Linked DNA regions of Anolis sagrei. The protein of the gene in region 3 interacts with the protein of the main gene of each other region in a pairwise test. Links are inferred from orthologs where the notes say so. Each region holds a gene or a part of one and is shown on either strand. Other genes may lie near its edges. The genes, in order: ABITRAM, ASB7, HMBOX1 and AEBP2.

What was found.
Region 1: the proteins of HMBOX1 (region 3) and ABITRAM interact in binary tests that used the Homo sapiens proteins (3 or more experiments, as listed by UniProt). The two-hybrid records come from large-scale screens. The link is inferred for Anolis sagrei from reciprocal best matches to the Homo sapiens genes HMBOX1 and ABITRAM.
Region 2: the proteins of HMBOX1 (region 3) and ASB7 interact in binary tests that used the Homo sapiens proteins (3 or more experiments, as listed by UniProt). The two-hybrid records come from large-scale screens. The link is inferred for Anolis sagrei from reciprocal best matches to the Homo sapiens genes HMBOX1 and ASB7.
Region 4: the proteins of HMBOX1 (region 3) and AEBP2 interact in binary tests that used the Homo sapiens proteins (3 or more experiments, as listed by UniProt). The two-hybrid records come from large-scale screens. The link is inferred for Anolis sagrei from reciprocal best matches to the Homo sapiens genes HMBOX1 and AEBP2.

The regions. Positions count from the first base shown.
Region 1 is NC_090024.1:105,131,854-105,139,948, forward strand, and holds the start of ABITRAM (protein Abitram), read right to left. Parts: upstream 3,670-8,095; 5' UTR 3,600-3,669; coding exon 3,497-3,599; intron 1-3,496. UniProt on the Homo sapiens protein: Actin-binding protein that regulates actin polymerization, filopodia dynamics and increases the branching of proximal dendrites of developing neurons.
Region 2 is NC_090029.1:13,385,644-13,393,431, reverse strand, and holds the start of ASB7 (ankyrin repeat and SOCS box protein 7), read left to right. Parts: upstream 1-4,503; 5' UTR 4,504-4,652; intron 4,653-7,788. UniProt on the Homo sapiens protein: Probable substrate-recognition component of a SCF-like ECS (Elongin-Cullin-SOCS-box protein) E3 ubiquitin-protein ligase complex which mediates the ubiquitination and subsequent proteasomal degradation of target proteins.
Region 3 is NC_090021.1:8,091,262-8,099,922, reverse strand, and holds the start of HMBOX1 (homeobox-containing protein 1), read right to left. Parts: upstream 3,465-8,661; 5' UTR 3,309-3,464; intron 1-3,308. Other genes in the region: INTS9 (integrator complex subunit 9), read left to right, coding at 3,772-3,780. UniProt on the Homo sapiens protein: Binds directly to 5'-TTAGGG-3' repeats in telomeric DNA. Associates with the telomerase complex at sites of active telomere processing and positively regulates telomere elongation.
Region 4 is NC_090025.1:183,640,566-183,648,388, reverse strand, and holds the start of AEBP2 (zinc finger protein AEBP2), read right to left. Parts: upstream 3,597-7,823; 5' UTR 3,515-3,596; coding exon 2,787-3,514; intron 1-2,786. UniProt on the Homo sapiens protein: Acts as an accessory subunit for the core Polycomb repressive complex 2 (PRC2), which mediates histone H3K27 (H3K27me3) trimethylation on chromatin leading to transcriptional repression of the affected target gene.

The DNA.
Region 1 (8,095 bases), on a different chromosome or scaffold from region 3:
CAAACTGTGGTAGCCAGACAAACTCCCACAAAGGCGCATGAGCATGCACTTAATGCTCACCAGTGCCCTGTGATTTGTGTTAGGTCCATCCAGGACTCAAACTGGTTCCAGTATTTCTGATGTAATCATATGCATAGGAAAAACACTTAAGATACTGCACTGAATAGTGCCTTAGAGACTTGAATACTCTATAAATTCACTAGATCTCATCTGATTTTGAAGCTAAGAAGAGTCAGCCCTTAGTGGCACCTTGGTAATTAATTGCAGTAAAATTATGAGAGGAGCTAAAAAGATGGTTATCCTGAGCTGAGACAGATAGTCACACATATATATACACAAAAGGCCCCCTCTACACTGCCCTATAACCCATGATCTGATCTCAGATTTCAGGGAGTGAGTAACCCTTTCCAGTTCAAGTTGTAACCCTATTCCCAGATCGATCTTACATGAGACCAGGAATACTTCCATTTTATCTGGATTAAGCTTCAAATTGTTTATCCTCATTCAGTCCATTACTGACCTCAGGCAATGGTTCAGGTGCTGGATGGGTTCCTTGGCATCCAATAGAAAGGAGTAGTAGAGTTGAGCATCATCCAGATACAGATGATACCGAACTCTGAAACTCCAGATGATCTCTCCCAGCGGTTTCATGTAGATATTAAATGACATTGGGGATAAGGATGAGCCCTGCAGAACCCCACAGTCCACAGGTCATGACTCCCCCTGTCCAGCTCTCCGCATCATCCACCAAGGCAACCACAGCCTGAAACCAGATTGAAATGGATCTAGAAAACTAGATTATATGAGTCTTCTCTGCCAGATAATCTGGGATATAAAGATAATCTGGGGTCAGATCCTGGGATATAGGGGCGGTGTGGATGGGGGCGAAGTGGTATAAGGAGGAGAAAAAAAGAAGGAAAATGGTAGCAAAATCTGCTGGACGAATTGCCATCAAATTTGGCCACAAGACACCTACTAACCCAAGGAGTGACCATCACTTTAAGAAATGATTTTGTCACTTAGGAGCTGTAGTTGCTGGGATTTATAGTTAACAATCAAAGAGCATTTTGAACTCCATCAATGATGAAATTGAACCAAACTTGGCACACAGAGCTCCCATGACCTACAGGAAACACTAGAAGGGTTTGGTGGGCATTGACCTTGAGTTTGGGAGTTGTAGTTCATCTATATCCAGAGAGTACTGTGGAGTCAAAAATGAAGGATCTAGACCAAACTTGGCATGAATACTCCATATGCCCAAATATGGACACAGATGGAGTTTGGGGGAAATACACTTTGCCGTTTGGGAGTTGTATTTGCTGGGAATTATAGTTCCCAGTACAATCAAAGAGCATTCTGAACCCCACCAATGATTGAATTGGGCTAAACTTCCCACACAGAACCCCCATGACCAACAGAAAATACTGTGGGTTGTTGTAGGTTTTTTCGGGCTATATGGCCATGTTCTAGAGGCATTCTCTCCTGACGTTTCACCTGCATCTATGGCAAGCATCCTCAGAGGTAGTGAGGATAGCCTCTAGAACATAGCTATATAGCCCGAAAAAACCTACAACAACCCAGTGATTTTGGCCATGAAAGCCTTCGACAATACTGAGAATACTGTGTTTTCTGATTTTCTTTTGTGACCCTTTTGACACCACTTTGTGACCCCCTCAGGGGTCCTGACCTCCAGGTTGAGAAGTGCTGCCTTAAGGCCATCCAGTCCAAAATAATCAAAGCCCTTTTCACAAAGAGCCATCCAGCCATAGATGTTGTTGTTCATTCGTTCAGTCGTCTCCGACTCTTCGTGACCTCATGGACCAGCCCACGCCAGAGCTCCCTGCCGACCGTCACCACCCCCAGCTCCTTCAAGGTCAATCCAGTACCATGCATCCATCTTGCCCTTGGTCGGCCCCTTGCCCTCGGTCCCTGTGTGGATCATAATAAATTGTGGCAAGTTCTTGGTGAGATGAGCATACCAAGCCACCGTGTCTCTCTCCTGAGGAATCTGTACAAGGACCAAGTAGCAACAGTAAGAACTGACCATGGAACAACAGACTGGTTCAAGATTGGGAAAGGCGTACGGCAAGGCTGCATACTCTCACCCAACCTTTTTAACTTGTATGCAGAACACATCATGCGATGTGCGGGGCTTGACAAATGCAAGGCTGGGGTAAAATTGCTGGGAGAAACATTAACAACCTCAGATATTATTATTATTATTATTATTATTATTATTATTATTAACTTTATTTGTACCCCGCTAGCATCTCCCGAAGGACTCGATGCGGCTTATGCAGATGACACCACTCTGATGGCCGAAAGCGAGGAGGAGCTGAGGAGCCTTCTAATCAAGGTGAAAGAAGAACGCGCAAAAGCCGGGTTGCAGCTAAACGTAAAAAAACCAAGATTATGGCAACAAGAATGATTGACAACTGGAAAATAGAGGGAGAAAATGTGGAGGCCGTGACAGACTTTGTATTTCTAGGTGCAAAGATTACTGCAGATGCAGACTGTGGCCAGGAAATCAGGAGGCGCTTACTCTTTGGGAGGAGAGCAATGTCCAGTCTCGATAAAATAGTAAAGAGCAGAGACATCAGACTGGCAACAAAGATCCTCCTAGTCAAAGCCATGGTATTCCCTGTAGTAACCTACGGATGTGAGAGCTGGACCTTAGGGAAGGCTGAGCGAAGGAAGATAGATGCTTTTGAACTGTGGTGTTGGAGGAAAGTTCTGAGAGTGCCGTGGACTGTGAGAAGATCCAACCAGTCCATCCTCCAGGAAATAAAGCCCGGCTGCTCACTGGAGGGAAGGATACTAGAGACAAAGTTGAAGTACTTTGGCCACATCATGAGGAGACAGCAAAGCCTAGAGAAGACAATTATGCTGGGGAAAGTGGAAGGCAAAAGGAAGAGGGGCCGACCAAGAGCAAGATGGATGGATGGCATCCTTGAAGTGACTGGACTGACCTTGAAGGAGCTGGGGGTGGTGACGGCCGACAGGGAGCTCTGGCGTGGACTGGTCCATGAGGTCACGAAGAGTCGGAGACAACTGAACGAATGAACAACAAAAAACCAAGGGCTAATAAAAGGCCCTTCCACACTGCTCTTTATCCCAGGATCTGATCCCAGATTATCTGTTTATCCCAGGTTATCTGGCAGTGGGGGCTCATGTATTCCTTTTTAAAGCAGATAATCTGGGGTCAGATCCTGGGATAAAGAGCAGTGTGGAAGGGCCCTTTATTAGCCTGCCAAACATGATCACAGGCCATTACTGATGGAGGTAAGACCCAAGTCTAAATGCAAAACGCACTGCTGTTTCATATCTGCCTTCTCGCCACCCAGGTGGGCGCTTTGGGTGTGTTTTGGGATCCCAGAGAAGGGATGCTCAACCTGCAATGCTTTGAGAAAGCCTTTTTGAAAAGAAGATCATGCCCTGAGCCGCCTCCTCCCTCTGTTCCAGTTCTCCTTCACTCCAGGGCTGCTTCTCCCTTTACCTGGCTTGTACCATCGGGTGAAGTAGCGCTCCGTCACCCCGGGCACCGTTGCCATGGCAGCCGGCGCGTCAAAGTCTCCCCCTCCCCCGTGCAGTGCGCGCATGCGCCCAGCTAACTTCCTTCCCGCCTGCCCCGCGAGCCGCCGGCGGGGGCCCTCTCCTTCCGCTAAGCCAACGACGACCCGGAAGAGAATCCCAAGCAGCAAAGTACAGGAAAGAGAAGAAAGCACCTTCCTCTTTCCTTGAGCAGGAACTTCCGGGCTCAAGGGTATGACTATGTATGTATGTATGGTACATGCCACCTCTCTCTGGGAGTGAGGCATAATAACATTAGTTGATACCCGCCACGCGTTGCTGTGGCCAACCTTCCCTCTTTCTCTCCTTCTTTCCCTCCTTCCTTCACTCTCTCTTTCCTTTCAGTCTTTCCTTCTCTCCTTCCTTCTTTTTCTATCTCTTTCCTCCCTTCCCCCCTTTCCTTTCTCTTCTGCTGTCTCTTTTCTTCCTTCTCTATTTCCTTCCCTCCCTCTTTCTCTACATCTTCTTCCTTAATTCGCTCCCTCTTTCCTTCCTTCTTTCCCTTTTTTCTTTCCTTCTCTCCTTCCTTCTCTAACTTTCCTTCCTTCACCCCCTTTTCTCTCTCCCTTTTTCTCTCCTTTCTTCCTTATCTACCTCTTTCCTTCCTTCTCTTTGCTTCCATGCTTCCTTCTCCCTTTCCTTCTTACTTTCCCTCCCTCTTTCTCTACATCTCCCTCCCTTCCTTTACTCTTTCTTTCCTTCTTTCCTTCCTTCTCTAACTTCCCTTCCTTCCCCTTCTCTTTCCCTCCCTCTTTCTCTCCTTTCTTCCTTCTCTACCTTTCCTTGCTTCTCCCTTTCCTTCTTTCTATCCCTCCCTCTTTCTCTACATCTTCCCCCCCTTCCTTCGCTCCCTTTCCTTCCTTCTTTCCCTTTTTCTTTCCTTCTCTCCTGCCTTCCTTCTCTAACTTTCCTTCCTTCCCCCTTTTTCTTTCCCTCCCTCTTTCTCCCTTTCGTCCTTCTCTCTTTCCTTCCTTCTCTCTTCTTCCATGCTTCTTTCTCCCTTTCCTTACTTTCCCTCCCTCTTTCTCTACATATCCCCGCTTCCTTCACTTTCTTTCCTTCTTTCCCTTTTTACTTTCCTTCTCTCCTTCCTTCTCTAACTTTCCTTCCTTCCCCCTTTTTCTTTCCCTTCCTCTTTCTCTCCTTCCATCCTTCTCTACCTCTTTCCTTCCTTCTCTCTTTGCTTCCATACTTCGTTCTCCCTTTCCTTCTTTCTTTCATAGAATCAGAGTTGGAAGAGACCTCATGGGCCATCCAGTCCAACCCCCTGCCAAGAAGCAGGAATATTGCATTCAAAGCACCCCTGACAGTTGGCCATCCAGCCTGTTTAAAAACTTCCAAAGAAGGAGCCTCCACCACACTCAGAGGGTTCCACTGCTGAACGGCTCTCACAGTCAGGAAGTTCTTCCTCATGTTCAGATGGAATCTCCTCTTGTAGTTTGAAGCCATTGTTCCGCCTCCTAGTCTCCAAGGAATCAGAAAACAAGCTTGCTCCCTCCTCCTCATGACTTCCTCTCACATATTTATACATGGCTATCATATCTCTTCTCAGCCTTCTCTTCTTCAGGCTAAACATGCCCAGCTCCTTAAGCCGCTCTTCATAGGGCTTGTTCTCCAGACCCTTGATCATTTTAGTCGCCCTCTTCTGGATACATTCCAGCTTGTCAATATCTCTCTTGAATTGTGGTGCCCAGAATTGGACACAATATTCCAGGTTTCCCTCCCGCTTTCTTTCTTTTCTCCCCTTCCCTCCCTCTTTCTTCCTTTTTTCTGTATTGTCATTTAGCTTTTCGTCATTTAGCTTTTCGGGGCTTTTGAAGTCCCTTCTGCTGTGTTTTTCAGTGTTTTTATGAGTGAAGGACATACATTGTGTTGTTAGGTGTATTGTGTCCAAATTCGGTGTCAATTCCCCCAGTGGTTTTTGAGTTCTGTTAGTCCCATAAATGGACATTACATTTTTATTTATATAGATAACCAAGCATTCAAAGACATGGCCGTGTTAGTTAGGAGTAACAGTATGTGAAGGGACTTAGAAGCAGGTCTGAAAATGAAATGCTACTCAAAACCTTCCTAGACTTGGAATACAGAAAGGCGCCATCGACACTGCCATATAATGTAACTCGAAACTCCCATTATATGGACAGTATAAACCAGGCACTCTTGCAAGACACGAGAAACCAGTGTCATTGTGGCTGGGGTCCAGCAGTGGCCCCAGACAGACCTCTGGGTCATTACAGCTCCTCAGAGTAAATAAATACAGCCCATTTGGTGGTTCCTGCTCTTCTGGCTAGTTCCCTTCAGCCATAAAACCCACCAGTTACTGTCTCAACCACACATGAAAGCAAAGATAAAACCTCATAGTAGTTTAGCCGTAGGGTCACCATAGGTCAGAAACAACCTGAAGGCACAGAACAAGAACATGTGTATAAGGTTGTGCTTTTATGACTTCCACTTTCACATTAGGAAGACCTTCGTCACTGTAGGAGCTATTTGAGAATGATAGCAACTGACATGAGGGTGGTGGTCTTTCCTTCCTTAGAGGTCTTTAAACAGATTGAAGGGCTATATCTCAGGGTGTGTTGGCCTGCCTACAAGGAAGTTCAGGGATTTCTACAACAACATAACTTTATTTTTGATAAAATGTACCCTGACATTGTTGTAGTCATACCTTCATCAAATTTCATATTTAGAATCATAGAATCAGAAGAGACCACATAGGCCATCTAGTCCAACCCCTGCCATGCAGGAAAAGTACAAAGTACCCCTAACAGATGGTCATCCACCCTCTATTTATTTATTTTTTCAAAGTCTAGGTTTAAATTATACTGTGGGTTAAAACTATACTTTTGTTTTGAGCAGAAAATGTGCCTGTTTAATGTACATTATAATTGTCATACCATACTAGGATGTTACAAATTATTCTCTTAAGTATAAATAAGCAAACAATAATGAATTGAAATGTTTTATTATCAAAAAAATGTCCATGGTAAGCCAGTTAACAATACATATCCAACTTAAAGTTTAGAGGTATATTCCAGTCCTCTATTCTTTCAAGACTTTTAGTTAGTTAAGTGCTGTGTCAAATAGAGGAATGAATTCCAAATTTCAGGAGTCAAGAGCATTTTTTTTTACTCAAAATGTAGATATAAGACTTCTGCTACAAGTCATCTTTTTGACTTGTAGCAAAATCTACCTTTTTCTAGATGTTAACAACATCCACCTTACATATGTAAAAGCTACATTTTATCCCAAATGTTTCTGATCCACGGATTTGACCCACTAATATATACATGCATGTCCAGTTTTGTAGAATGCATTTGATTGAACTTCAACCTGGAGTAAATAAAATGTATGTACATAAATAAAGGTAAATATATAGATTTGAAGTACAAAATTTGAGTAACTCAACTCTTAATATTTAGCTTCATTTATGTGCAATGGCCCTTGGTATACTTTGGAGTTGGTAGCTTACACACACACCTGTGAATACCAAAATCAAATGGTCTAGTAGAATGGTGTCCCTTATATAAAATGGTAAAATCAAGGCCTAATTATTCAAAATATGTTTTGAAACTGGATGGTTGTACCTGCAAATACAAAGAGGTGACTATATAGAGATTGGCTATGTTTTTGGGAGATGAATAAAGAATATAAAACACTTTTTACACTTGAAGAGCTTAAAAACTTCATAAGACATTTGAAGCACATTTAAAAAACATTATTTAATGTGTATCTCATCTTTCTACCCAGATTGGGATTATAGTGGATGGTGACACTTTAAGATATTATATTGATGAACAAATCTGTTACTGTATGAAGTCAAAGTATGAAATGTCTCGTATCACATGTTTTCGGACTTCGGCAATTCTATGTTACACTCATAATGAAATCTTATAGCACCAAGTACGCAAGAATCCAGTTACTTCGGAAGTGTAGTATATTCTTTCCATCACTGTTTCTATCTTTAGCATATGCATGGTGTGAAAAACTTGTTCCGAATCAACAATTCACTCTCTCTACTCATTGGCTTCTGAAGGCTCACATACCCAGCTAAATTTAGAAAGAAACTACAACACAAAGCAGACAGCAAGATTACCTACAATCATCTTCTTACTTTTATCTGAAAAGTTCTTTCCTTCAACTATTCCATTAATGCAGCACCATCTTTGGCAACCTGCCTTGTTCACCACCTTTATGTTCCTGCCAAACACTTCCATCTACTGCATGGTTTGTGAAAAATATGCCAAATTCCCACAGGGAACTGCACAGATTTGTTCACTGCAGATGTTTGGCTTTATATGTTTAGGTCAACTGAACGTTTCTGTAAACCTTTAATGCAGATAGATCAAAGATCATGTAATTTTAATGGCAATGCAATATTAAATATCTTCATTGAGAAACTTGTTTATAGCCTAAGAACTGACGTACTCTGAGTACTATTTTTTTCTATTGACCGCAGCAATGGAAATGATAACTTTAGGTTGCTTATTCCATATTAGGGACATTAAAAGTAGTACCACTTCAC
Region 2 (7,788 bases), on a different chromosome or scaffold from region 3:
ATATTGTATATACATATAATATGGGTAATAATATTACAATGAAATACTTTATAATACTAACAATAATACAATATAATAATATAAAATAATATAGTAATATAGAATAATATTGTAACATAATAATACTAAAATGTTAAATACTTTACTTACTTAAGCGATTTCTCGTTGGTCTTCCATGATCAGTATTCTGGTGGATCCGTAGGTGACTGTGGAGCTCTATTCTTGACCCGCATCTTCTCCCTCAGTGAGGGCATTGGTTTCCAGGTGGAAGGCGGTCTCGGTCAGGGTTGGCTTGACGCGCCTTCCTCTTGGCACGTTTCTCCATTTCACCCTCCATTCGTACCTCTTCAAATTCTGCAGCACTGCTGGTCACAGCTGACCTCCAGCTGGATCGCTCAAGGGCCAGGGCTCCCCAGTTCTCAGTGTCTATGCCAGAGATTTTAAGGTTGGCTTTGAGCCCATCTTTAAATCTCTTTTCCTGTCCACCAACATTCAGTTTTCTGCTCTTGAGTTCGGAGTAGAGCAACTGCTTTGGGAGACAGTGGTCGGGCATCTGGACAATGTGGCCGATCCAGCGGAGTTGATGGCGGAGGACCATCGCTTCAATGCTGATGCTTCTTCCAGCATGCTGACGTTTGTCCGCCTGTCTTCCCAAGAGATTTGCAGGATTTTCTGGAGGCAGCGCTGATGGAATCGTTCCAGGAGTTGCATGTGATGTCTGTAGACAGTCCACGTTTCGCAGGCATATAGCAGGGTTGGGAGGGGAATAGCTTAATAAACAAGCACCTTGGTCTCCCTACGGATGTTCCGGTCCTCAAACACTCTCTGCTTCATTCGGAAAAATGCTGCACTTGCAGAGCTCAGGCAGTGATGTATTTCGGTGTCGATGTTGACTTTGGTGGAGAGGTGGCTGCCAAGGTAGTGGAAATGGTCAACATTTTCTAATGCTACACCATTAAGCTGTATCTCTGGCATTGGAGAGGGATTGGCTGGTGACTGCTGGAAGACCACTTTGAGCACTTTGGTCTGTAGACAGTTCATGTTTCGCAGGCATATAGCAGGATTGGAAGGACAATAGCTTTAAAGACAAGCACCTTGGTCTCCCTAAGGATGTCCCGGTCCTCAAACACTCTCTGCTTCATTCGGAAAAATGCTGCACTCGCAGAGCTCAGGCGGTGTTGTATTTCAGTGTCGATATTGACTTTGGTGGAGAGGTGGCTGCTAAGGTAGCGGAAATGGTCATATTTAATCGTCAATTAAATATAATACTATGAATAATATATAATATATAATGACAATACTGCTTTTTATTATTGTACATGTTAATGTATTGTCGAAGGCTTTCATGGCTGGAATCACTCAGTTCTTGTGGGTTTTTTCGGGCTATATAGAACATGGCCATATAGCCCGAAAAAACCCACAAGAACTGAGTGTACATTTTAAGTTGTCATGTTTTTGATTGTGAGCCGATTTGAGTCCTCGTAAGGAGAGAGAAAGTGGGATAGAAATCAATCAATCAATTAATAAAATAATAATAATAATACCTGCGTGACCGCATCTCTGTATATGAGCCCACACGATCCCTCCATTCATCTGGAGAGGCCCTACTCACGATCCCACCTGCGTCACAAGCGTTTTTGGTGGGGACGAGGGACAGGGCCTTCTCTGTGGTAGCCCCTCCCCCCGACTCTGGAACTCTCTCCCCAAGGACATCAGACATGCCCCAACGTTGGCAGTCTTTAGGAAGAGCTTGAAGACCTGGCTGTTCAGTGTGCCTTTCCAGAATAGGAAACTCCCAGCATCATGTCCCGGACGCACTTTACTAGAGATTTAAGATTGCCTGCACATTGCACCTACTCTAAAATCCTTATATTTCACCTGTCATGTCCAGCACTTCTTAATTTTATTCATTACATTTGGCTCGGCCCTAGTTTTAAATGTGTCATGATGTATTGTTTTAATGTTTTACTCTTATTGCTTTAATGTTTTATTGGTTTGCTTTATGAGTTTTATTGTTGTATTTGTTATGTTGTTGTTTTATTGAGGGCCTTGGCCTTAGTAAGCCGCACTGAGTCCTTCGGGAGATGTTAGCGGGGTACAAATAAAGTTAATAATAATAATAATAATAATAATAATAATAAATCATTCCCGACACCAAGAGTTTTTGCTTGTTTGCATGCTGGTTGCACGATCATCTATGCTGATGATCGTGCCATTACTGCTCAACCAGGGAGCTTTGAGACGGTAAAACAGAAGCTCTCCGAAACTCTAGGTGCTCTTACTGCCTATTATAGGGAAAACCAGCTGATCCCTAACCCATCTAAAACACAGACATGTGGCTTTCATCTCAAGAACAGACAAGCATCCCAAGCTCTGAGGATGGCCTGGGAAGGAATCCCACTGGAGCATTGCAGCACACCCAAATACCTGGGGGTCACTCTGGACCGTGCTCTGACCTACAAGAAGCACTGCCTGAACATCAAGCAAAAAGTGGGTGCCAGAAACAATATTATACGAAAGCTGACTGGCACAACCTGGGGATCACAACCAGATACAGTGTAGACATCTGCCCTTGCGCTATGCTACTCTGCTGCTGAGTATGCATGCCCAGTGTGGAACACATCTCACCACGTTAAAACAGTAGATGTGGCTCTTAATGAGACATGCCACATCACCACGGGGTGTCTGCGCCCTACACCACTGGAGAAATTACACTGTCTAGCTGGTATTGCACCACCTGACATCCGCCAGGAAGTAGCAGCCAATAGTGAAAGGACCAAGGCAGAGACATCTCCAGCTCATCCCCTGTTTGGGTATCAGCCAGCACGTCAACGACTTAAATCTAGAAATAGTTTTCTAAGATCTACAGAGACACTCGCTGGAACACCTCAGCAAGCGAGAGTCCAAAAGTGGCAGGCTCAAACCCAGTACGTCAACCAATGGCTGATACCAAATGAGAGACTTCCCCCTGGGCACACAGAAGACTGGGCGACTTGGAAGGCGCTCTGGCACCACGAGATGCAGAGCCAACCTTCAGAAATGGGGCTACAAAGTGGAATCCTCGACATGCGAGTGAGGAGAAGAGCAAACCACTGACCCCCTGCTGCAATGCAACCTGAGCCCAGCCACATGCACAATGGAGGACCTCCTTGTGGCAACACCAGAGGCACTCCAAGTGGCCAGATACTTGTCAAAGGACATTTAATCAACTACCAAAGTCACAAGTTTTGTATTTAGGTTCTTGTGGGTTTTTTCGAGCTATAGGGCCATGTTCTAGAGGCATTTCTTCGGGAGAGGCCCTTCTCTCCATCCCGCCTGCTTCACAGGTGCGGTTGGCGGGAACGAGAGATAGGGCCTTTTCTGTGGTGGCCCCTCGGCTTTGGAATGCCCTCCCTATAGAGATAAGATCAGCCTCTTCGCTGATGGTATTTCGTAAAAAACTGAAAACATGGATGTTTGAGCAAGCATTCGGTTAACCCGATGCAAGGAAATTCTTGACCTAGGACCGGCAATTACTGACAATGAAATAGGATCATGATTAAATTAAGAGACGCATTGGTCTGTATTGGTGGCCCAATACTGTGAAGTGTATATGTATATGTTTTATATTTTTAATTGGAATATTGTTGTTTTAATGTTGTTGTAAACCGCAATGAGTCGCCGTTTTAGGCTGAGATATTAGCGGTATACAAGCGTACTAAATAAATAAATAAATTTCTCCTGACGTTTCGCCTGCATCTATGGCAAGCATCCTCAGAGGTAGTGAGGTCTGTTGGAATTAGGACAATGGGTTTATATATCTGTGGAATGGCTGGGGTGGGGCAAAGAGCTTTTCTCTGCTGGAGCTAGGTGTGAATGTTTCAACTGACCGCCTTCATTAGCATTTGAAGGCCTGCCTGAGCCTGGGAAAATCTCTTGATGGGAGGTGTTAATCTGTGCCTGGTTGTTTCCTCTCTGTTGTTTTGCTGTTGTAATTTTAGAGTTTTTTTAATACTGGTAGCCAGATTTTGTTCATTTTCATGGTCTCTTCCTTTCTGTTGAAATTGTCCACATGCTTGTGGATTTCAATGGCTTCTCTGTGTAGTCTGACATGGTGGTTGTTGGTGTGGTCCAGCATTTCTGTGTTCTCAAATAATATGGCTGACTTATCTGGTTGAAGTAGTCTGCAGTTTTGTATTTGTCTGTTTGTTTGCTTTGTTCTGTTAGAAATGTAATATAATGGACTGGTTGCTCTGACAGGACAAATAAATAAATAAATAAAAACCAAGAGTTTTTGAAAGTGGTGTCGCTTTGATGCCGGAAATGTGCAGAAACGTGTTGCTGTAAGATTTGTCACCCTCTTAGAGGTTGTGAAGGAGCAGAAAGGAGGAAAAAAAGTGGTCGAGGCGTTTGGGACGCTGGCGCCGTCCAATGGCGTGACGGCGCGAGGCGGGAGGCGGGCGCGGATTGGCTGGGAGAGGAGGTCAGGCCCTGCCCGGTGACCCCGGGCGAAAAGAGAGACAGGAAGGAAGCAGAAGGAAGGAGGTAGCAGCAGCAGCGGCGGCGTCTTCTCCTTCTTCTCCTCGCCTTCTCCAGCCAGGCGTCTCCTCCCGGGTCCCTTCTCTGCCTTCTGAATGAGGAAGAGGTGCCGGGAGAGGGAGGCTGACTGACAGGTAACGGCCGGCGCGGGGGCGGGACTTGGCGGCCCCTCGACCAATCCAGGGAGGAAAAGGCCCCCGACCCGGGCCTCCCGGGCCTCTTCCTTGGTGGTCGCGCACGCCGCCCCCGTGATGCCATTCGATGCCAGGAGTGGGGTCGCCTCTCACGGGATGCCAGGGTGCCTCCCACTTGACCAAGCTGTAGGGTGGGGATTGTTGTGATTATGACCATTATGGCCCCTTCCACACAGCTGAATAGAACCCACATAATTCTGCTTTGAACTGGGTTATATGGAAGTTGGGACTGAGGGCCCTTCCACACAGCCCTCTATCCCAGAATATCAAGGTGGAATATCCCCCATTATCTGAATGTGGGCTCTGATAACCCAGTTCAAAGCAGATATGGTGGGATTGTATGACTTGATATTCTGGGATAGAAGGGCCCTCAGATAACCCTTCCACACAGCCATATAACTCAGGACATCTAGGCAGATCATCCACAATAGCTGGTTTGAACTGGGTTATCTGAGTCCACACTGCCATATAACCCAGTTCAATGTGGATTTTATACAGCTGCGTGGAAGGGTTCTAGGGCCCTTCCACACAGCCCTCTATCCCAGAATATCAAGGCGGAAAATCCCACGTTATCATAGAATCCCACGAACTGGGTTATATGGCAGTGTGGACTCTTATAACCCAGTTCAAAGCAGATATGGTGGGATTCTATGCCTTGATATCCTGGGATGGAAGGGCCCTCAGATAACCCAGGCCCCTTCCACACAGCCGTATAACTCAGGACATCTAGGCAGATCATCCACAATAGCTTCTTTGAACTGGGTTATCTGAGTCCACACTGCCATATAACCCAGTTCAATGTGGATTTTATACATCTGTGTGGAAGGGTTCTAGGGCCCCTCCACACAGCTCTATATCCCAGAATATCAAGGCCCTCAGATAACCCAGGCCTCTTCCACACAACCGTATAACTCAGGACATCAAGGCAGATCATCCACAATAGCTACTTTGAACTGGGTTATCTGAGTCCACACTGCCATATAACCCAGTTCAATGTGGATTTTATACATCTGTGTGGAAGGGTTCTAGGGCCCTTCCACACAGCTCTATATACCAGAATATCAAGGCCCTCAGATAACCCAGGCCCTTTCCACACAGCTATATAACTCAAGACATCCACAATAGCTGGTTTGAACTGGGTTATCTGAGTCCACACTGTCATATAACCCAGTTCAGTGTGGATTTTATACAGCTGCGTGGAAGGGTTCTAAGGCCCTTCCACACAGCCCTGTATCCCAGAATATCAAGTCAGAAAATCCCACATTATCAGAGTGTGGACTCTGATATCCCAGTTCAAAGCAGATATTGTGGGATTGTATGCCTTTATATTCTGGGATAGAAGGGCCCTCAGATAACCCAGGCTACTTCCACACAGCTATATAACTCAGGACATCAAGGCAGATCATCCACCATAGCTGGTTTGAATTGGGTTATTTGAGTCCACACTGCCATATAACCCAGTTCAGTGTGGATTTTATACAGCTGTGTGGAAGGGTTCTAGGGCCCTTCCACGCAACTCTATATCCCAGAATATCAAGGCAGAAAATCCCACATTATCAGAGTGTGGACTCTTATAACCCAGTTCAAAGCAGACATTGTAGGATTGTATGCCTTGATATTCTGGGATAGAAGGGCCCTCAGATAATCTGGCCCCTTCCACACAGCTATATAACTCAGGACATCAAGACAGATCATCCACAATATATTGTCAAAGGCTTTCATTGCCGGAATCAACTGGGTTGTAGGTTTTTTCGGGCTATATGGCCATGGTTCCGGCCCAGCTTATCTATCCGAACGCATCTCTTCCTACGAGCCCTCCAGGAAGTTAAGATCATCTGAGGAGGCCCTGCTCTCGATCCCGTCTGCTTCGCAAGCACGCTTGGCGGGGACGAGGGACAGGGCCTTTTCTGTGGTGGCCCCTCGGCTATGGAACTCCCTGCCTAGGGATATTAGATCAGCCCCCTCCCTCCTGACTTTTCGGAAGAAAGTAAAAACCTGGCTCTTCGAGGAAGCCTTCGGAACCTCGGAATAGATAGTCAAACTTGAGATGGAGAATGACCCAGGAACAGCCAAGACGATGAAATGGATGAGGATTGGAATGAGAGGATATAGCTCTTTTTAAATTGTTATTGCACTGTCTTTTTTGTCTAAATGCACTTAATTGTTTTTGCTGTTGTATTGTATTGATGGCATCGAATTGTGCCGATATGTAGTCGCCTGCGGGCTGAGTCACCTGCGGGCTGATATGGGCAGGATATAAGTGATGTAAATAAATAATAAATAAATGGTCTAGAGGCATTCTCTCCTGACCTTTCGCCTGCATTTATGGCCAGCATCCTCAGAGGTAGTGAGGTCTGTTGGAACGAGGAAAAAGGGTTTATATATCTGTGGAATGACCAGGGTGGGACAAAGAACTCTTGTCTGCTGGAGCTAGGTGTGAATGTTTCAACTGACCACCTTGATTAGCATATAATGGCCTGACAGTGCCTAGAGCAAACCTTTTCTGAGAGGTGATTAGATGTCCTTGTTTGTTTCCTCTCTGTTGTTGTGCTATTGTAATTTTAGAGTTTTTTAATACTGGTAGCCAGATTTTGTTCATTTTCATGGTTTCCTCCTTTCTGTTGAAATTATTATTATTATTAAACTTTATTTGTACCCCGCTAGCATCTCCCGAAGGACTCGATGCGGCTTACAAAGACCAAGGCCTCAACAACAACAACAGACAATAACAATATAATACAAGCAAATTAAAAACATAAGCAATAACAACAACAAAACATTACACTATTACACAATAAAACCAGGGCCGGGCAAATAAAGGGTACAGGTTAAAAGTGCTGGGTGTAAGAGGTGATATGTTGGGATTCTGGGTAAGTGCAATGTGCAGAGAGTCTTAAGCTCTAATAAAGTGTTTCTGGGATGTAGTGCTGGAGGTTATCCTATTCCAGAAAGGCACATCGGAATAGCCAGGTCTTCATGCTTATGGATTTCAATGGCTTCTCTATGTAGTCTGACATGGTGGTTGTGAGATTGGTCCGCATTTCTGTGTTCTCAAATAAAATGCTGTATCCAGGTT
Region 3 (8,661 bases):
CTTTGCCCGACAGCATTCATTTCAAGGGGAAAGAGAGGGTGGGAGGGAAGGAGGGAGGCAGCCAGCCGCCTCCTTGTCTTTTAAAACTTCCCCTGCAAAAAATTGCATGCATGCATACGTAATAGATAGAACAAACCTTACAAAATAGATAGTCCAAAAGAAGTCTCATCCACAGAGTGGAAGAAAATAACCCTTTTGTATTCTATTCCCTGCAAATACATATAGAGAACAGAAAATAAAACGGATAGTTCAAAAGAAGCCTTCATTCTCAGAGAGAAAGAGAACAAACCTTTCCCTGCAAGTGGATTTATATTATATTATGTATATATCCAACAAAATAGCTAGTTCAAAAGAAGTCTCCTTTCTCAGAGAGGAAGAAAAACAAACCTTCCCCTGCAAGTGGATTTATATTATATTATATTATATATCCAAAAAATAGCTAGTTTAAAAGACATCTCCTTTCTCAGAGAGGAAGAAAACAAACCTTCCCCTGCAAAGGGGATATAGATAGAGATATGATTATATAGATATAGATGATAGATAGATATACCATAAATACATATCCCACAAAATAGCTAGTTCAAAAGAAGTTTCTATTCCTCAGTGAGGAAGCAAATAAACCTTCCCTTGCAAAGGGGATATAGATAGAGATATATGGTTATATATCTCTATCTATCTGTCTATTATAGATATAGATATATTATACTATAAATACATATCCAACAAAATAGCTAGTTCAAAAGAAGTATCTCTTCCTCAGTGAGGAAGGAAACAAACTTTCCCTTGCAAAGGGGATATAGATAAAGATATATGATTACATAGGTATAGATATATTATACTATAAATATATATCCAGCAAAATAGCTAGTTCAAAAGAAATATCTCTTCCTCAGTGAAGAAGCAAACAAACCTTCCCCTGCAAAGGGGAGAGATATAGATATGGATAGATAGATATAGATATAATATACTATAAATATATATCCAACAAAATAGCTAGTTCAAAAGAAGTATCTCTTCCTCAGTCAGGAAGCAAACAAACCTTCTCCTGCAAAGGGGATATAGACAGATATATATGATTATCCCTCTCTCTCTATATATATATATATTGCTGTATATATATATAGTATAATATATCTATATATTATATAGATATATTATACTATATATATACAGCAAAATAGCTAGTTCAAAGGAAGTATTTCTTCCTCAGTGAGGAAGCAAACAAACCTTCCCCAGCAAAGGGGAGATATATAGATATAGATATAATATACTATATATATATATAGAGAGAGAGAGAGAGCGTATTATACACACACACACATATATAACTACAGTGCAGATAGATATAGATGTATTATACTATAGATATATATTCCACAAAATTGCAAGTCCAAAAGAAGTCTCTCTACCTCAGTGATGAAGAAAACAAACCTTCCTGTGCAAAAGGGATATATTGATAGATATAGAAATATTATACTATATCTTCTTTCTAAGCTATTTATCCAACGGAAGGGTTAGCATAGATATATTATACTATATCCCATAAAACAGCTAGTTCAAAAGAAGTCTCTCTACCTCAGTGATGAAGAAACAAACCTTCCCCTGCAAAGGGGATGTATATATACTATAGATAGATTAAACTCTCTCTAGATATCTATATCCCACAAAAGAGCTAGTCCAAAAGAAGTCTCTCTACCTCAGTGATGAAGAAAACAAACCTTCCACTGCAAAGGGGATATATAGATATAGGAATATTATACTATATCTTCTTTCTAAGCTATTTTCCCAATGGAAGGGTTAGCATAGATATATTATACTATATCCCACAAAACAGCTAGTTCAAAAGAGAGGAAGAAAACAAACCTTCCCATGCAAAGGGGATATATTGATAGATATAGATATATAATACTATATCTTTTTTCTAAGCTATTTTCCCAATGGAAGGGTTAGCATAAATATATTATACTATATCCCACAAAACAGCTAGTTCAAAAGAGAGGAAGAAAACAAACCTTCATGTGCAAAAGGGATATATTGATAGGTATAGATATATAATACTGTATCTTCTTTCTAAGCTATTTTCCCAATGGAAGGGTTAGCATAGATATATTATACTATATCCCACAAAACAACTAGTTCAAAAGAAGTCTCCTTCTTCAGAGAGGAAGAACACAAACCTTCCCATGTAAAGGGGATATATTGATAGATAGATAAATATAATAAGCTATTTTCCCAATGGAAGGGTTAGCATAAATATACTATACTATATCCCACAAAACAGCTAGTTCAAAAGAAGTATCTATTCCTCAGTGAGGAAGCAAACAAACCTTCCCCTGCAAAGGGGAGATATATAGATATAGATAGATATACATATAATATACTATATATATCCATAGAGAGACAGTATACTATATAGATAGATGGATATAGATCACACAAAATTGCAAGTCCAAAATAAGTCTCTCTATTTCTGTGAGGAAGAAAACAACCCTTCCCTTGGTTATATATCTCTATCTATATTATAGATATAAATATATTATACTATAAATACATATCCAGCAAAATAGCTAGTTCAAAAGAAGTATCTATTCCTCAGTGAGGAAGCAAACAAACCTTCCCTTGGTTATATATCTCTATCTATCTATATTATAGATATAAATATATTATACTATAAATATATATCCAGCAAAATAGCTAGTTCAAATGAAGTATCTCTTCCTCAGTGAGGAAGCAAACAAACCTTCCCCTTCAAAGGGGATATAGATAGAGATATATGGTTCCCCCCCTCTCTCTCTCTCTCTCTCTATATATATATATATATATAGATATAGACATATTATACTATAAATTTATATCCAACAAAATAGCTACTTCAAAAGAACTATCTCTTTCTCTTGCAAAGGGGATATAGATAGAGATATATGATTTATATATAATAGATATAGACATATTATACTATAAATATATATCCCACAAAACAGCTAGTTCAAAAGAAGTATTTCTACCTCAGAGAGGAAGAAAACAAACCTTCCCCTGCAAAGGGGATGTGTATATAGTATAGATAGATTAAACTCTCTCTCTATATCTATATCCCACAAAGAGGAAGCCTCTCTTCCTCAGAGAATGAGGAAAACCAACCTCTTCTTGTCCTTCCTCCCCAAAACTCTGTTGACATTTCCCCACAAAGTCACTTTGGGAAGGAGCCACTTTCTTCCTTCCAAATCTCTCCTGTTTCTTTCCCTTTTCCTCCAAAATCTCCTTTCAGAAACAACTCTTGATTTTCTGCCCTAGCATAAGATGGGCCTCACCTGGAGCCTTCTTCTGGAGCCCTGAAGAGGAGAAGTTGAGGGGAAGCTTCCCTGCCCTCAATCAGACCAGCCTGACTGCCTTTGTCTGCCTGACAAGCGCCATGTTGATATCAACATCCAAGCTCCCACCTGCCGCCGCGGGGAGGCCCTGGGACTTGTAGTTCCGCCTCCCCCAGGGTGCAGGCGCCAAGTCGCCGCTGGGAACTACCCATCCCGGCATGCCTTGCGCCGACGCTGATTAGACGGCGGTTGGAGGAGGGAGGCGGGGAGGAGGGAGTAGAGACTACGCTTCCCGGCGTGCTCTGCTGCTGGCAGGACAAGATGGCCGCCCATGACTTCATTCTCCTGAATCATTAGGAGGCTGAGAGAAGGACTACACTTCCCAGGATGCTTCGGGAAGCACTTCCGGTTGGGAAACAGGAAGGAAGAGACTGCATGCCACAAACAGAGCCTGGGGTGAAGCATGAAGCTGGTGAGTCTGGGAGGACTTTGGAGGAAGTTTTAAATAGTAATAATAATAATAATTGTGCGATGTGTGATCCAGTACAACTGTGCAGGTACAGTTGTACCAGGAGCTCCAATTTTGTTTGCTTTGCACAGAATGTTTGTTGTAGTCCTAAGTTTCAGGGACTCTGCAGATAGGTGGCTTCTTTTGGCTGCAATCATAGGGCAAGCCACCTGTCAATTATAGTTAGGTTCCCTGGCCCTGCCCCCTTTTTGGGTTTTGTAGGGAATTATGCTGGGGAAAGTGGAAGGCAAAAGGAAGAGGGGCCGACCAAGGGCAAGATGGATGGATGGCATCCTTGAAGTGACTGGACTGACCTTGAGGGAGCTGGGGGTGGTAATGGCCGACAGGGAGCTCTGGCGTGGGCTGGTCCATGAGGTCACGAAGAGTCGGAGACGACTGAACGAATGAACAACAAAGGGAATAGGAGTCATTTGGGATTCAGTCCACACAGAGAAGCCTTTCGTGCAGGACGTAATACCAAGAGCTCCTGTAGAAAGCTTAGTCTTCTTCGTCTGATGAAGGCAGAACCCGGAGCAGGGCATCCCCAGACGATCTTAAAGTCCTAGATGGTTCATAAGGGAAGATGCATTCGTACAGGTAAATTGGACCAGAACCATTTAGGGCAGGGGTCCTCGAACTTTTTAAACAGAGGGCCAGATCACAGTCCCTCAAACTGTTGGGTTATTGATGTCACCCTACCAGGAGACAGTCACATTGAGGAAAAACAATGAAAAACAGGAAAACTCAGCCGTGATCAGGACCTCAAAATTGAATGGCAAGGGCTCTGGCGAAAACCAGTACAGGTGATCCCAGTGGTCATTGGCACACTGGGTGCTGTGCCAAAAGATCTCAGCCAGCATTTGGAAACAATAAACATTGACAAAATCACGACCTGTCAACTACAAAAGGCCACCTGACTTGGATCTATACGCATCAATTCGAAAATACATCACACAATCCCTGGTTCACCGAGGAGCTGGCAGCGATGAAGCGAAGGAAGAGGGAACTAGAGAGTGTGTGGCGTTCGGATCCGAGTGAGCCAAATCGAACACGGTTTGTGTCCTTTTTAAGGGCATATGCCGCGGCAATAAAAGCCGCAAAGAAGGCCTTCTTTGCGGCTACTATTGCGTCTGCAAAGAACCATCCGGCTGAGCTGTTCCGAATTGTCAGAGGCCTTTTAAATCCCACCACTCAAGGTGGGAACCCTGACGATTCGACTTCTCGCTGTGTAGCTTTTGCTTAGTTCTTTGCAGACAAAGTCGCTTTGATCCGTTCTGGTCTGGATACCATGTTAATGGCAGTCTCTGAGGATGTAACATGAGCACCTGCTTGTCCAGTTTTGATGGATTCATTTCAATTGGTGAAACCCGAGGATGTGGACAAGATACTTGGAGGAATGAGGCCAACCACATGCATCCTGGACCCCTGCCCATCCTGGCTTCTAAAGGAGGCCAGAGGGGGATTGGCTGAGTGGGTTAAGGTGGTGGTTAACGCTTCCCTTCGGGAAGGCAAGATTCCAGCGAGCTTAAAACAAGCTATAATAAAACCGCTGTTGAAGAAACCATCACTGGACCCCACTAAATTCGACAACTATCGGCCAGTTTCCAATCTCCCCTTCTTGGGCAAAGTCTTGGAACGTGTGGTGGCCTCACAACTCCAAGTATTCTTGGTAGACACGGATTATCTAGACCCGGCACAGTCTGGCTTTAGGCCGGGGCATGGAACTGACACAGTCTTGGTCGCCTTAGTGGATGATCTGCGCCGGGAGCTCGACAGGGGGAGTGTGTCCCTGTTGGTGCTGCTGGACCTCTCAGCGGCCTTCGATACCGTCGACCACGGTATCCCTCTGGGACGCCTCGCGGGGATGGGTCTTGGAGGTACTGTTTTGCAGTGGCTCCGGTCATTCCTGGAGGGTCGATCTCAGAAGGTGTTGTTGGGGGACACCTGTTCAACCCCACAACCATTGTCTTGTGGGGTTCCTCAGGGCTCAATATTGTCTCCCATGTTGTTTAACATCTACATGAAGCCGCTGGGGGAGATCATCCGGAGTTTCGGGGTACGGTGTCATCTGTACGCGGATGATGTCCAACTCTGTCACTCCTTTCCACCTGCTACTAAGGAGGCTGTCCAGGTCCTGAACCGGTGCTTGGCCGCTGTGACGGTCTGGATGAGGGCGAACAAATTGAAATTGAATCCAGACAAGACAGAGGTCCTCCTGGTCAGTCGCAAGGCCGAACAGGGCATAGGGTTACAGCCTGTGTTGGATGGGGCCGCACTCCCCCTGAAGACGCAGGTTCACAGCTTGGGTGTGACCCTGGACTCATCGCTGAGCCTGGAACCCCAGGTTTCGGCAGTGACCAGGGGAGCATTTGCACAGCTAAAGCTTGTGCGCCAGCTGCACCCATACCTTGGGAAGTCTGACTTGGCTCTGGTTACATCCCGTTTAGACTACTGCAACGCTCTCTATGTGGGGTTGCCTTTGAAGACAGCTCGGAAACTCCAACTAGTCCAACGCTCGGCAGCCATGATTTTAACAGGAGCGGAGCGCAGGGAGCATACAACCCCCCTGTTGCGCCAACTCCACTGGCTACCGATCTGCTACCGGGCTGAATTCAAAGTGCTGGCGTTGGCCTTTAAAGCCCTAAACGGTTCTGGCCCAAGCTACCTATCTGACCGCATCTCTGCCTATGAACCCACCAGGACTTTGAGATCTTCCGGGGAGACCCTGCTCTCGATCCCGCCTGCTTCTCAAGCTCGGCTGACGGGGACGAGAGATAGGGCCTTCTCGGTGGTGGCTCCTCGGCTGTGGAACGCCCTTCCTACGGACATTAGACTAGCACCATCTCTAATGGTATTCCGCAAAAAGGTGAAGACCTGGATGTTTGTGCAGGCGTTTGAGTAATTTAGTGCAATCTGGTAATGGAACATAGGAATGGAACAATGGACGACGAACCTGGACTACGCTTGGATGATGAGAAGATTGGGTACGGTTGTTTTTCGTAATAATTGTGCATTGTAATTGCTTATTGGTAATTTATGGATAATGTGTTAAGTCAATTGTTATATGTTGCATGGCACCACTGCTGTTTCTACTGTTTTTACTGTTTGTGAACCGCTGTGAGTCGCCTTCGGGCTTGAGATACAGCGGTATAGAAGCAAAGTAAATAAATAAATAAATAAATCCCAGACGCTTGGGAAATGTTTGACTTGTGATTTTGTGATACGAAATCCAGTTTGCTGTGACATACTGTTTTTGTGTCAGTAAAATAATAAAAATAATAAAATATGGGAGGAAGAGATGATAATAAATAAATAAGGTCAATATAATAATATAATAATAAAATGTGGGAGGAAGAGATGATTCGCACACACACACACCTCCCTTTATATTTCTGTTTTTAATTTTGCAACTCCTGCCCCTTTTGGTGGGATGAGTTATAATTTCAAGCACCTATCCCAAAAACAGCAGGAGACGACGGGATCCCAGCTGAACTGTTTAAAATCTTGAAAGATGATGCTGTCAAGGTGATGCATGCCATTTGCCAGCAAATATGGAAAACACAAGAATGGCCATCAGACTGGAAAAAATCAACTTATATCCCCATACCAAAAAAAGGGAAATGTGAAAGACTGCTCAAACTTCCGCACAGTGGCCCTTATTTCTCATGCCAGTAAGGTAATGCTCAAGATCCTGCAAGGAAGACTCCAGCAATACATGGAGCGAGAGTGGCCAGACGTTCAAGCTGGGTTTAGAAAAGGCAGAGGAACGAGAGACCAGATTGCCAATATCCGCTGGATAATGGAGAAAGGCGGGGAGTTTCAGAAAAACATCTACTTCTGCTTCATTGACTATTCTAAAGCCTTTGACTGTGTGGATCATAATAAATTGTGGCAAGTTCTTGGTGGGATGGGCATCCCAAGCCCCCTTGTCTCTCTCCTGAGGAATCTGTACAAGGACCAAGGAGCAACAGTCAGAACTGACCACGGAACAGGAGACTGGTTCAAGATTGGGAAAGGTGTACGGCAGGGTTGTATACTCTCCCCCAACCCATTCAGCTTGTATACAGAACACATGTGCGGGGCTTGAGGAATGCAAGGCGGGATGAAAATTACTGGAAGAAACATTAACAACCATAGAATAATAGAATCAAAGAGTTGGAAGAGACCTCCTGGGCCATCCAGTCCAACCCCATTCTCCCAAGAAGCAGGAATATTGCATTCAAATCACCCCTGACAGATGGCCAGCCAGCCTCTGTTTAAAAGCTTCCAAAGAAGGAGCCTCCACCACACTCCGGGGCAGAGAGTTCCACTGCTGAATGGCTCTCACAGTCAGGAAGTTCTTCCTCATGTTCAGATGGAATCTCCTCTCTTGTAGTTTGAAGCAGGAAACAAGCTTGCTCCCTCCTCCTCCCTGTGACTTCCTCTCACATATTTATACATGGCTATCATATCTCCTCTCAGCATTCTCTTCTTCAGGCTAAACATGCCCAGCTCCTTAAGCCGCTCCTCATAGGGCTTGTTCTCCAGACCGTTGAAGAGATGATAATAAATAAATAAATAAATAAATAAGGTAAGTATAATAATATAATAATAAAATGTGGGAGGAAGAGATGATTCACACACACACATATCTCCCTTTATATTTCTGTTTTTAATTTTGCAACTCCTTCCCCATTTGGTGGGATGAGTCTTAATTTCAAGCACCTATCCCAAAAACAAGCGCCTTTCCAAATGAGCTTTTCCATCCAAGGTCCGAAAAAGAATATTTTCAGCCTATTGGTGGCAAAGGTACGAAACAAAAACATGAAATAAACAAATGAGACAAATACTGGGCCCATGACTACT
Region 4 (7,823 bases), on a different chromosome or scaffold from region 3:
CCCCAGGGGTCCCGACCCCCAGGTTGAGAAATACTGATTTAAAACAAGAATTTGGGTTTAAAGCTTAATGGGATGATGGGAGCTTTGCCCTCAAAAGGAAGGAAACTCAGGCCATGATTCCATTTGAACTGCCTGGGATGAATGCCATGGTAACCTGGGATTTGTAGATCTCTACAGCTCCCATGCTGGGCATTAACTCCTGAAACTGCCAGTCCTGGGATTCCATAAGTTAAAGTGGAGCCATGGCACTATACTTGTTTTCTGTGAATGAATGCAGAAATAACATCTAGGCTGCATCTGAACTGACATTTGGGAGTTGTAGTTGCTGAGATTTATAGTAAATCTACAATCAAAGTGCATTCTGAACTCCACCAACAATGGAATTAAACCAATCTTGGCACACAGACCTCTCATAACTAACAGAAAATACTGGAAGTATTTGGTGGGCATTGACCTTGAGTTTTGGAATCATAGTTCACTTACATCCAGAAAGGCCTGTGGACTCAAACAATGATGGATCTGGACCAAATTTGGCACCAATACACAATCTGCTCAAATGTGAACACTGGTGGAGTTTGGGGGAAAATAGACCTGGACATTTGGGAGTTGTAGCTGCTGGGATTTATAGTTCACCTGCAACCAAAAAGCATTCTGAACCCCACTAATGATAGAATTGGGCCAAACTTCCCACACAGAATCCCCATGACCAACAAAAAATACTGTGTTTTCTGATGGTCTTTGGTGACTCCCCCAGGAGTCTTGATCCCCAGATTGAGAAATGCTGGCATAGGGAAACACATGTGAATTAATGGACAATGTATATGGTTCAAATCTGTGGACTCAAACAATGATGGATCTGGACCAAATTTGGCACCAATACACAATCTGCCCAAATGTGAACACTGGTGGAGTTTGGGAGGAAATAGATCGTGATGTTTGGGAGTTGTAGCTCACCTGCAACCAAAAAGCATTCTGAACCCCACCAATGATAGAATTGGGCCATACTTCCCACGCAGAACCCCCATGATGAACAGAAAATACTGTGTTTTCTGATGGTCTTTGATGACCCCCCTGAAACCCCCTCATGACCCCCCCCCAGGGGTGCTGTAGCTGCTGGGATTTATAGTTCACCTGCAACCAAAAAGCATTCTGAACCCCACCAATGATAGAGCTGGGCCAAACTTCCTATACAAAAACAATACTATGTTTTCTGATGGTCTTTGGTGACTCCCCCAGGAGTCTTGATCCCCAGATTGATAAATGCTGGCATAGGGCAACACATGTGAATTAATGGACAATGTATATGGCTCAAATCTGTGGACTCAAACAATTTTGGATCTGGACCAAATTTGGCACCAATACACTATCTGCCCAAATGTGAACACTGGTGGAGTTTGGGGGGAAATAGACCTTGACATTTGGGAGTTGTAGCTCACCTGCAACCAAAAAGCATTCTGAACCCCACCAATGATAGAATTGGGACAAACTTCCCACACAGAACCCCCATGATGAATAGAAAATACTGTGTTTTCTGATGGTCTTTGATGACGCCCCTGAAACCCCCTCATGACCCCCCCCCCAGGGATGTTGTAGCTGCTGGGATTTATAGTTCACCTGCAACCAAAAATTTATTTTATTTATTTGGGGTTCTTGTACCCCGCCCTTCTCACCCTGTAGGGGACCCAGGGCGGCTTACAACAGCAAAGGCACGCTTAGATGCCTGCCACACAAAACAATCATCACAGAAGTGCAACAATTCATAGTTACCACAATTCAAGCCATTATCCCAATAAAAACAATAAAAAATCGATAAAATCGATAAAATCAATAAAATCAATACAAACCTAATTCTTCCTCCTACCCTATCAGTGTACACTAACTCACAGATCTGTTTTTGATTTCACTTCGACAATCCTGCTGATCTTGCACATCTGATTGTCTTATTTAATTGTCTTATTTAATTGCCTGGTTGCCCAAAGGCCTGGTTCCACAACCATGTCTTCACCCTCCTCCTGAAGGAGAGGAGGGAGGGTGATGCTCTGATTTCCCTCGGGAGTGAGTTCCACAGGTGAGGGGCCACCACTGAGAAGGCCCTGCTTCTCGTCCCCACCAGCCTCACTTGTGACAGTGGTGGGGTCGAGAGCAGGGCCTCCCCAGATGATCTCAAACTCCGAGGTGGGACGTAAAGCATTCTGAACCCCACTAATGATAGAATTGGGCCACACTTCCCACGCAGAACCCCCATGATGAACAGAAAATACTGTGTTTTCTGATGGTCTTTGATGACCCCCTGAAACCCCCTCATGACCCCCCCCCCAGGGGTGTTGTAGCTGCTGGGATTTATAGTTCACCTGCAACCAAAAAGCATTCTGAAACCCCACTAATGATAGAATTGGGCCAAACTTCCCACACAGAACCCCCATGATGAACAGAAAATACTGTGTTTCCTGATGGTCTTTAGCAACCCCCCCCCCTCCAGGGGCCCCCATCCCCTACTTAGTGTGATGAGGTCCTAAGTCCAAAACTTGAGGGAGGGCTGCAGTTTGGCCATGCCTGGTATAAAAGTGATTTTAAGAAAGGGGGGCAAAGGGAGTGTCTACACTGCAGCGTGAATGCAGTTGGACTCCATCCCTCAAGGCAAAGAACCCTGCACAGTTCCCCAGCACTCAAGGCAAAGGACCTATGCTGATAAGAGACAGGGAATTCAAGAGAGCACCTATTCCAAACCAGGGAAGGAAGGAAGAGAGGGAAAGGAAGGGAAGGGGATGGAGGCGCTAATTTCGGACCTGTCCTCGGAGTCCATGCGGCTGAGAGGCTCTCCGTCGGAGGAGGAGACCTCCATGCTGCCCCTGCGTCCGCCCGACGAGGCGCTGCACGTACTGCCTCCTCCTCCTCCTCTTTCTCCTTCTCCCCCGGCTTCTCCTTCGCTGCCTCCGCTGCGGCTGCTGTAGCCCTCGTCGCGGCTGGATTCGCTGCTGGAGCAGGACGAGGAGGCGGAGGAGACACTGCTGCTGCTGCTGCTTCCTCCGCCAATGAGGCCTCCTCCTCCTCCTTCTCCGCCGTCGTCGCTCTTGCCGCTTCCTCCTCCTCCTCCTTCGATGGCGGAGATTTCCGTCAAAGGCCCCGCTAGGCCTCCTCCTCCTCCGCCTCCTCCCAGTGGCAAGGCCTTGGCGTCGGCTTCCGGGCTGAGGGAGCGGGTCTCGTCGCTGCAGCACCCGCTGGAGGAATCCTCGTCGTCGTCCTCCTCCACTTCATCGTCCTCCTCCTCCTCGTCGTCTCCGTCTCCCGCCTGGCTGGCGCTCTCCGGGCTGGACTCCGACATGCTCTCCGCCCCCTCTCCGCTCAGCAGCAGCGCCGTGGGCTCAGCCTCAGAAACGGGCGAGGCCTCGGCCTCCATTTCCACCAGCGGCGAGGGAGAGGCCTCCTCAGAGGCGCCTGGAGGAGGAAGGAGAAGAGGAGGAGGAGGACAGAGCAACGGGGAGCCGCCTTCGCCGCTGCTCAGCTCGGCCGCCATGTTGTCGCCTTCCCCTCCCTTCTTCCCGTCTCTCTCTCTCCCTCACGAAAAAAGGGGAGGAGCTTCCCACTGCAGCGGGATGACGGACGGACGGACGGACGGAGGGAGGGAAGGAGCGTGCGCGCGGGCGGGCGGTTGGCTGGCGGCGAGGGTGCGCATGCGCGGCCTGGCGCGCGCGCGTTATGGAAGCCGCCTGGGGACAAAAGTGAGGCAAGGACAGGCAGCCCGTCCAACTGCGCTTGGAGGCAAAGCGAGGTGGGAGGCGAGGGATAAGCGCAGAAGGCCGAGGGAAATAGGGACGTTCAAGAATGTATGAACCAGTTATTGTTGTTGTTGTCCAGCCTCTGTTTAAAAGCTTCCAAAGAAGGAACCTCTACCACTCTCCCGAGGCAGAGAGTTCCACTGTTGAACGTCTCTTAACAGTCAGGAAGTTAAGTTAACAGTCAGGAGGTTAACTCAGACATCAGAAGAGCTGCAAAACCGAGAACAAGCCACGAAAGTAAAGATGAAGATCCACCCAGAGGAAAAGTGTTTGATGATGTTTTTGATTTTTGCTAGATTGATATTTTAGATTGTGTCTTGAATTTTGTACCTTGTTCTTCTATGTTGTACACCGCAGTGAGTCGCCCCTGGGCTGAGAACTGCGGTATATAAGCAAAGTAAATAAATAAATCAAGGGAACCACTGACCACATAGGGAAATTGATGAGGAAACACAACGTACAAACCACTTACAGACCCACCAAGAAAATCCAACAAATGCTACGTTCAGCAAAGGACAAGAGGGATCCTCTCACCTCTGCAGGAGTCTACCGTATACCATGCAGCTGTGGACAAGTCTACATAGGGACCACCAAACGCAGCGCCCAGACACGCATCAAGGAACATGAAAGGCACTGCAACTACTCCAACCAGAGAAGTCAGCCATAGCAGAGCACCTGATGAACCAGCCTGGACACAGCATATTAGTATAAAAGTATGATAAGTATAAAATTGTGTGCTGAAATAAAACATATTATACATAAGAGGCAAAAACCAGCACCTATTAATCACCAATTAAAATCCAGTTGGCATTGGAATCAATTAAAAACCTCCATTGCTTACGATATAGTCAACTGTTTTCAAAGGCCTGCTTCCATATCCATGTTTATAGTTATTATCCAATAGCAGAGCACCTGATGAACCAGTCTGGACACAGCATATTATTTGAGAACACAGAAATGCTGGACCACACCAACAACCACCATGTCAGACTACACAGAGAAGCCACTGAAATCCACAAGCATGTGGACAATTTCAACAGAAAGGAGGAAACCATGAAGATGAACAAAATCTGGCTACCAGTATTAAAAAACTCAAAAATTACAACAGCAAAACAGAGAGTAAACAATCAGGCACATCAATTCACTCTCAACAAGAGATTCCCCCCAGGCGCTTCCAGGCCATTGAATGCAAATCAAGGTGATCAGCTGAAACATTACCCTGGTTATTCCAGATATATAAACCAATTTTTCCTACTTCCAACAGACCTCACTACCTCTGAGGATGCTTGCCATAGATGCAGGCGAAACGTCAGGAGAAAAATTGCCTCCAGAACATGGCCATATAGCCCGGAAAAACCTACAAAAACCCAGTCAGGAAGTTCTTCCTAATGTTCAGATGGATTCTTATTTCTTGTAGAAATCTCATTGTTCCATTGCATCCTAGTCTCCAGGGCAGCAGAAAACAAGCTTGCTCCCTCCTCCCTCTTAACTTCCTCTCACATATTTATACATGGGTTGTTGTAGGTTTTTTCGGGCTATACGGCCATGGTCTAGACTAGAGGCATTCTCTCCTGACGTTTCGCCTGCATCTATGGCAAGCATCCTCAGAGGTAGTGAGGTCTGTTGGAACTAGGAAAATGGGTTTATATATCTGTGGAATGACCAGGGTGGGGCAAAGGACTCTTGTCTGCTGGAGCTAGGTGTGAATGTTTTCAACAATTCAGAGTGCTGGTTTTGATCTACAAAACCCTTTACGGCTCTGGCCCAGCGTACCTGTCCGAACGTATCTCCTTCTACATCCCACCTTGGAGTTTAAGATCTTTAGGGGAGGCCCTGCTCTCAGCCCCACCTTTATCACAAGTGAGACTGGTGGGGATGAGGGACAGGGCCTTCTCGGTGGTGGCCCCTCGCCTGTGGAATGCACTCCCCGGGGAAATTAAGTCATCAACATCCCTCCTCTCTTTCAGAAGGAAGTTAAAAACCTGGATATGGGACCAGGCCTTTGGGTAAGCTGGCAGATGGATAAAGGACAACGACAACCAGAGTAGGAAAGGACAATTGACAATGCTGGATGGATTATAGCAGGGGTCCTCAAACTAAGGCCCAGGGGCCGGATGCGGCCCTCCAAGGTCACTTACCCAGCCCTCGCTCAGGGTCAACCTAAGTCTGAAATGACTTGAAAGCACACAACAACAATAATCCTATCTCATCAGCCAAAAGCAGGCCCACACTTCCCATTGAAATACTAATAAGTTTGTATTTGTTAAAAATGTTCTTCATTTTAATTATTGTATTGTTTTTAAGTGTCTTTTGCACTACAAGTAAGATATGTGCAGTGTGCATAAGAATTCATTCATTTTTTTCCCCAGGCTATAATCCGGCCCTCCAACTGTTTGAGGGACTGTGACCTGGCCCTCTGTTTAAAAAGTTTGAGGACCCCTGGATTATGGATTTATGAATTGGCAAACATTGACCACAAGATGATTTTATTGCTGCTATTGTATTAATTTGATTGTTTTAACTAGTTATAACTGTTATCGTTATATTGTATTATATTGTAGACAGCAGTGATAGCTGACAGGTCTGATGTGACGATGTGAGCTAGCTGGAGGTATGTGGAAGTCTTCCAGCAAGTGTTCCATTTTGTATGCAGTCTACTTGGCTAGTGGGAATAGGGACTCAATTAGAGTTACCAGGACCTTGGTTGACTACTGAAGTGTCAGATATTCTATGGTTCTGCAAATCAAAAAGTCCCAGTGCTCCCAGTTTATGAGGCCTGTTTTCACCACATCACTGTTGTTCATGGTTGAGATGAGGATGCAGATGGTAGGAGACGTCTGGAAAGGAGCAGGAGGCTAGTTGGGGAAGTCATGCTAGAGCTACAGGTGACAGTTTTTCCATCCCTGGGTGCAGATGCAGAAAATGTTAGAATCACCTGATCCCTGCTTGGAGAACTAGTAAGTGGCAACACAGTTCATTAATTTACTCCTGTGAATCTACACGTTGCAGACTTGTCAGACCAAAAGCTGGGGAGACTTTGGCATCTTTATTGGTTGGGTAGAAGAGGGAATTTTTGATGCAACCAAGTAATAAGCAACACCTGCTAAAAATCCCCTCTTGTGCACAACTATAAAAGGTACAAAAACCCTCTCCTGTGTTAGCTCTGGCATCCTGACACATTAGTCTGTTTTCTGAAGCAAAGGTTGTCTGCAATCATAACCCACTAAACAGAACACATTCAATCTAGACTGGCATTGACCAGCATTGAGTTAGATTAGTTGACCCCAGTGTCTCTTCCAGCTGTAGAATTCTGTGATTCAGTGATTCCAAATTAGTGAAACCTTTCCCGCCTTCATGCTAACTGTTGCACAAACAGCCCATTCTTTGTGTGGCTTTCTCGAATCTTCCATGCCGCACATGGTTCTATCTGTTAATTGGATCCCGTAGACCTCCTTTATGGTGTCAGGTTTCTCCCAGCCAGTCGAAATTGGCCCTTGTCCATGGGCTTGAACTGCCGGTGACCCTATCCATCACGCAAGCTTGACTCTGTCTACACAGATTACTGGGCAAAACCCATGATTGGCTTGGATTTCATCCCAAAGGAGGAGCAAATGGCAGATTTCTGCACTATTACAGTGGGAGCAACTGGAGGCTTTACCCAAATATCTTGAAGCTATTAAGAACGCAACAAAATCTTCTCAAACAAAGGGAAACAAGACACTCACTCATACTGTGAGCTCAGCAAATAACAAGGCCATATAGAAAAAGTACACCCACCTTCCCCTTTTAAAGTTCTAGTCTACACTCATCTTCCAAAATAGTTCAGGCAGTGTTTCTATACAGATGTAACCAATAAAGTCCCACTGGACTTGCAGGATTGTGCTTTGAATAGGCCTGCATAGAATTTCATTGTAAACTTTTCGTTAAATGGATACTCTAAACCTGTCATTTTAACATCCTTTTTTGTGGAAAATACCTTGGGGTGTATTAAATGCCTACTTATTATGTAAGTAAAAAGTTCAAAACCCTATTGCCTTTGGGTTTCAA